Linked DNA regions of Kluyveromyces lactis. The protein of the gene in region 1 interacts with the protein of each later gene in a pairwise test. Links are inferred from orthologs where the notes say so. Each region holds a gene or a part of one and is shown in the gene's direction. Other genes may lie near its edges.

Evidence for each region. The genes of interacting proteins can lie anywhere in the genome.
Region 2: the proteins of TIF6 (region 1) and LSG1 interact in binary tests that used the Saccharomyces cerevisiae proteins (3 or more experiments, as listed by UniProt). The link is inferred for Kluyveromyces lactis from reciprocal best matches to the Saccharomyces cerevisiae genes TIF6 and LSG1.

The regions. Positions count from the first base shown.
Region 1 is NC_006040.1:175,407-178,288, reverse strand, and holds TIF6 (translation initiation factor 6), read left to right. Parts: upstream 1-1,644; coding exon 1,645-2,382; downstream 2,383-2,882. Other genes in the region: KLLA0_D02068g (uncharacterized protein), read right to left, coding at 1-1,025; SEC9 (Sec9p), read left to right, coding at 2,742-2,882. UniProt on the Saccharomyces cerevisiae protein: Binds to the 60S ribosomal subunit and prevents its association with the 40S ribosomal subunit to form the 80S initiation complex in the cytoplasm. Is also involved in ribosome biogenesis.
Region 2 is NC_006042.1:641,280-645,076, reverse strand, and holds LSG1 (ribosome biogenesis GTPase LSG1), read left to right. Parts: upstream 1-1,199; coding exon 1,200-3,146; downstream 3,147-3,797. Other genes in the region: RRT2 (diphthamide synthase), read right to left, coding at 1-1,037. UniProt on the Saccharomyces cerevisiae protein: GTPase required for the nuclear export of the 60S ribosomal subunit. Acts by mediating the release of NMD3 from the 60S ribosomal subunit after export into the cytoplasm.

The DNA.
Region 1 (2,882 bases):
GAAGATGAGTTTGAATAACCAATAGGTAGTATTTCAGGATTATGAGACTGTCGGTTCAGTTTTGAATCTGATTTTATCTTCAAAGGAACCTGTTGTGGCTGCTGATATTTCATTTCTCTTGCTGCCCTTTGGTTAGGATTTGGTAATTCTCCATATAGAGAAATAATCACATCCAACATCTGATCTCTGATTCGTTTCATGGAGCTATGACGTGGTATTTCATACTCTTGTGGATCCAAAAACAATGTTGCCAAGTAATCCATTTTTCTCTCCACTGTTTTCAACTCTAATTCTCTGTTCAACGCCGCTATATTTAATCTCTGTACCCTGAGTAACCCTAAGAGTACATTAGAAAATACTTCACATTTTTCGTCCTTCTTCAAGGAGTTATCATAAAACTTATCGAGCTCTTTTTCTATCGGGACCACTTCTTCATTTAAAACATGGGAGTTTTTATACATGTTGATGGAATCCCGAATAAAGGGTAAAATATTCCTAGTGAACAACATATGGTTTTTTTCCTTTCTTGATATTGTAGTACTAGCAACGGTTGAGGTCTCTCTAACGTCATTTCTATTCCCATCGTATGATGATGATGAGAAATGGGACACGTAATCTGAATTTGTCACTGTAGCCCCAGACATACCGGGAATTTTGTTGCTTTCCGGATGGTAGTACAAAGGGTCTTTTAAACTTGTCGTTAATCTTAGATCAATTGCAGGTGGTGTCAGTTTAGGTAAGAGCATTGACTTTAATTTGGAAATCTCATGGTTCTTCTGTTCCAATTCCAATTGCAAATGGAAGTTTTCGTTCTTTATCTTACTGACAATTTCTGTTGGCATTTCATTTTCCGTATTAACCAAAACTTCTGCTCTGCGATCCAAACAGACATTTTCATTCAATTTATCAGGTTTGCTCGAGACTTTATGCCTTCTATTCAACTTCGATGGGGATATTGCCTTCAATGACATTGCTTCCAATCCAGACGTCAAACTGCGCTCCGTTGTACTATTACAATCAGTCATCTTGGAAAGAGAAAAATGATTCAGTGAAACTTGATTCTTATGAATTGCTTGCCACTGATCGAACAGCTTTAAAATGTTTTCGTAAATGTAACTTACTGCAGGTTAGATACATGCAACATGCTTTTGTGTCAATATATTTGTTGTGAATGTGTCGCTTTTTCAGCTTGAAGCTGTTTAAATGTCGGAAATTGACGACTTAGTGAAGATATTCGACGCAAGTGCGGGTAACAAATAAAACACGCTCAGGTGTACGGTATACCCTGCGTTGAATCGTCTGGTGATCAGAAGAAAGAATGTGAAATGGAGAGCTATTTCTCGTCTAAGCTTCGAACGGTTGTTGGATAACTCTCACTGATCAAATTTATACATCTATAAGGGTACGAGATACCCATATAGTACTGTATGTGTGTTCTTCTCCGGGTAACCTAATTTGTGTTTCGTTTCTTTAAAACACTGCAATATGGAAAATTTTAAAGATTTCACTGGATAATTTCTAAGCTCATCTCATCTCATCTTGCGGATGGTTGATTCGGCTTGAATTAGTACAGTTCTTCTGACTTATAAACACTAGTTCTGCTTGTTACGCCAGTATACCACTGCAGATAAATCAACTGAAATTATGGCGACTAGGACACAATTTGAGAATTCTAACGAAATTGGTGTGTTTTCGAAGCTAACTAACTCGTACTGTTTGGTGGCACTTGGTGGTTCGGAGAACTTTTATTCTGCGTTTGAAGCCGAATTAGGAGATGCTATTCCTATTGCTCATACCACTATTGCAGGTACGAGGATTGTTGGTCGTATGACTGCTGGTAACCGTAGAGGGTTATTGGTTCCAACTCAAACTACCGACCAAGAATTACAACATTTGAGAAACTGTTTGCCAGATGCTGTGAAGGTTCAAAGAGTTGAGGAGAGATTATCTGCGTTAGGTAATGTTATCTGTTGTAATGATTATGTTGCTTTGGTTCATCCAGACATCGACAGAGAAACTGAGGAGTTGATTGCCGATGTCTTAGGTGTTGAAGTTTTCCGTCAAACAATTTCGGGTAACGTTCTTGTTGGTTCATATTGTGCGTTGTCTAACCAAGGTGGTCTAGTGCATCCTCAGACTACAGTACAAGACCAAGAAGAACTTTCCTCTTTGTTGCAAGTCCCACTAGTTGCTGGTACTGTGAACCGTGGTTCGCAAGTCGTCGGTGCTGGTATGGTCGTGAACGACTATTTGGCAGTTACTGGTCTAGATACCACCGCTCCAGAATTAAGTGTGATCGAATCTATCTTCCGTCTACAAGACGCTCAACCAGAAGCTATCTCTGGTAACTTGCGTGATACTTTGATCGAAACTTACTCATAAAAGGAATTGATACAATCGCTCTCTTCTGTCATTTATATCGTTTTGGCCCCCATTATCGCCCCATTTTTTAATGTAATATTGGTGTATATCTCTGGATCTGTATAGTACAATTTTTATTTTGATTGCTCTTTGGCATTTGCATCAACCCCATACTGTTTATTTCCTTCTTTCTTTTGTATTTTGTGCATCGTGGTTCACTAAGTACTACTGGACCCAAAAGAAACCTTTAAATTTAAATGAAACAAAAGAATCGAAAAGTTGTAGTTCCTTTAACATCAATTTTTAGATAGGTAAAGACAAGGTAAAAGGGGAACATCGATCAAATAAGGTTAAAAGGTTGCTGTTACCGTAGTGAAACCATGGGTATTAAGAAGTTCTTCAAGATCAAGCCACCTCCAGAGGCTACCCCCGAAGAAAACCGTGAATATTTGAACGAGTTAGGAATTTCCACCAAGACTACACCATCAAATAGAAGAGAAAAGTTTGCCGCATATGGGAAG
Region 2 (3,797 bases), on another chromosome or scaffold:
GAGAATCTCCAAACACCACCCTGTAAATTGTCTTCCCATTTATTAACCACAGGGACGTCTGTCCCTGGATATATTGTGGTTTCTGAGAGCATTCTTAGATCAAAGGATCGTATATGGTCATCATAAGAGCCTGTGATTAAACTTGTTGGCTTGTTGCCTCTAAATGTCTCCCTAGCAGCCTTAATTGCCGTAACACCAGCTTGATGAATTTTTGAATTGGACCAGATCTTTTTGCCTGAATTCAAATCATGAGCTGCAATTGCAGAGTCGTCACCACCAGTGAATACAACATCTTTCAAAGGAGCCAAACAGCCGAACTCGCCGGTCCAGCACTCCAAAGAATGTTTGAAATGAAAGATTTGTTCATGGTCATTCTGAACATTTATAACTTTGATGTCTGCATTTGGCACCTCAATATAATTTATTGTTGAGGAGTCGAAATACGATGGCTCCACCTCCTCTATAAAGCATATTTCACCATGTATGATATCAACAGTAGCAAAATCCCCATTAGTAGTGGTTAAAAGTACGAGATTATCCAGCAATGGAGAAAACTGGAGAGACGTTATTAGACATGTGGGATCAAATACTTGAAGGTTGTTCAATAGTTTGATATCAATTGATGAATTATCATCGTCGACAGATATCGTCCACAGAATCATATTACCGGTTGAATGAGCTGTTGCGAGTAAAGTATCATCGAATGGATTGAGCTTCAAATCTAAAATTGCCCCATAGGTTTTTATGCTAGAAAGAAGGTTCAATTCTTTATCATAAACCTCAATAGAGCCAGTTCGATTGCCTGAGTCCTTATGCAAGAGATAGGTACCCACAATGATAAATTTCTCTCTTAAAATACACAAGCAACATGGAGGAAGACGCGTGGTAACCCTTTTATCAGCTGCAGTTTCTTCCATTCTGCAGAAACTCTTGACTTCTAATTTTGTCGCTCCTCTAAGGTGGTATGCAATACCTATGTTGGAGTCGTACTCTGCATCCTCATCATGCGGGTGCTTTTGTAAAGATTGTTGAGCCATCCATCTGTTCTAGTTCAGGTTTACCACACAATTTCTTTTTTACACTTTACGTACTAGCGGAAAATTTTAATATGTTAACCAGCTCATCTCATCATAAGCAAAGCATCAGCACAACAATCTTAGCAGTTAACGGCAGGTCTACAAGCAACACGGACTAGCAGCATGCCACCAAAGGAAACAACAAAGAAGTGGAAACCTCCAAAGGGTCCAAAGCCTATTCAAAGGAAGAATAAAAACACTATTGGGTTAGGTAAGGCAATTCAAACTGCAAGACGTAAGGAAAATGAAGTGCAGTATTTGCCAGATGGTGAAGAACGTTTCACTACCGATAAGCACGAAGCTAATTGGGTAAAATTGAGATCTGTTACTCAGGAATCTGCATTAGATGAATTTTTGAGTACTGCTGAGTTAGCAGACAAGGATTTCACAGCGGACAGACATTCTAATGTCAAGATCATCAGAATGGATAACGGTGCCGATGCAGCCACATCCCAGGGATTTAGTTTGACCAATGAGCAGAAAAGTAAGATCAACGAGAAGCAGAGATTACATGCTAGAGAGTTGATTGTCCCAAGAAGGCCTAAGTGGAATGAATCTATGACCAGATTTGAATTAGAAAGGTTAGAAAAGGAAGCATTCTTGGAATGGAGACGTAAATTAGCCTATTTGCAAGAAGACAACGAGGATTTGTTATTGACTCCATTCGAGAGAAACATTGAAGTTTGGAGGCAGTTGTGGAGAGTTGTTGAGCGATGTGATCTAGTAGTCCAAATCGTGGATGCCAGAGATCCATTATTATTCAGATCCACAGATTTAGAGAAATATGTGAAAGAAGTGGATGACAGGAAACAGAATTTACTTTTGATCAACAAAGCGGATTTATTAACAAGAAAGCAACGTATTATTTGGGCCAAGTACCTTCTCTCGAGGGGCATCTCTTTTACATTCTTTTCTGCTGCCAAGGCTAATGAAATATTAGAGAGACAAGAGGAACTAGGGGATGAATACGTTGAAGAAGAGGACGATGAGGAAATACTGGCTACAGAGGAAGAAATTGAAGAACTTGATGGGGAAGAAGTGAACAAAGAAATTCTGGATAAAATTAACATACTGAAGATCGATCAACTTGAAGAATTGTTCTTAGATAAAGCGCCAAACGATCCGCTACTTCCTCCATTGCCCGGTCAAGAGCCAATCATACAAATAGGTCTAGTGGGTTATCCAAACGTTGGTAAGTCTTCCACTATAAATGCCTTGGTGGGTGCCAAGAAAGTTTCTGTCTCTTCTACCCCTGGTAAGACCAAACATTTCCAAACTATCAAGTTATCTGATAAGGTAACGTTATGCGACTGTCCAGGTCTAGTTTTCCCTAATTTTGCATACAATAAAGGTGAATTGGTGTGTAACGGTGTTCTACCGATCGATCAGTTACGTGACTATATTGGGCCATCGACATTAGTGGCAGAAAGGGTCCCTAAATACTTTTTGGAAGCCATTTACGGTATCCATATTCAGACCAAATCCGTAGAAGAGGGTGGGAATGGTGAAGTACCAACTGCACAAGAATTACTCGTTGCTTATGCCAGAGCTCGTGGTTATATGACACAAGGTTTTGGTGCCGCAGATGAATCTCGTGCCTCTCGTTACATTCTCAAAGATTATGTGAACGGTAAACTCCTGTACATTAATCCACCGCCTCACATGGACGATGATACGCCATATACCAGAGAAGAATGTAAGGAATTCAACAAAGATTTATACACGTTCAGTAAATTACCTATCAACAGACAAGAGCAACTTGCAGAAGCTGCCAAACACAAAGGTATACAAGATTTGGATCTTGCTCGCGATTTAAGTCGATTAACGTTCTCTGCTCATATTGGTGGTGATGGTGATAAAGTACAAGCTAAATCTGTCAACCATGGTGGTAAACAAGCAGCCTTGTACAACGTAGCTGATGAACTTGACAAAAATTTCTTCCATTTGAACGGTGTTCAAGGCAGACTTACGAACCCTTTCCATAAGCAAACCGTCGCCAACGAAAATGGTAAGAAGCATAACAAGAAGAACAAGAAGAGTAAGAAAAAGGCTTCCATGTTTTCCGATTAATGTAAGTACTATCTAAATTCATCCTAAACTCTTATATATATATAAATCCACTGTTTGCACAGTCTATTATCCCCATTCATTATGGAAATGTAACTGCATATCCTTTATATCTTCCTTAGCTGCCCTGCTTCCGGTTATAAGACCTATGGTTAGCATGCAACTTGTCACTGCATTACCCGGTGTTTACTGAAAAATTTGATGAACCAAAAGAAAAGGATACAAAACTTGGTTAAAGTTGGTTTACTTTATACTTGACCTCAGTACATGGTCCAGTTGATAAGTATTCTTGTCATTTGTGGTTATCTTTTTGGTTCCTAGCTCAGCAAACAAGGGCTCTTAAACACATTTCGGCATGTTCAATTATGGTTCGCGTTGTGGTTATCATGGCGCAGACTTATTCCACGCATGTAGAAGTAAGCTCAAGATGCCCAGAGCTGGGATACTCCCATTTAACGCCCTTTTCGCTAACAACAACTGAATTCCTACAGTTTGTAGTTTGATAGTAGGTGGGCGGAAATATTACCCATTTAATTGGTTCAGTAGTTTCCTCTGAAATATTATGAGAGTCGTATGAATTTGTATATCAATAAGATTTAGCAATAGTTAACCAAGTTCAGCCTTATGTTATACTTACCATCGGTAGATACATTA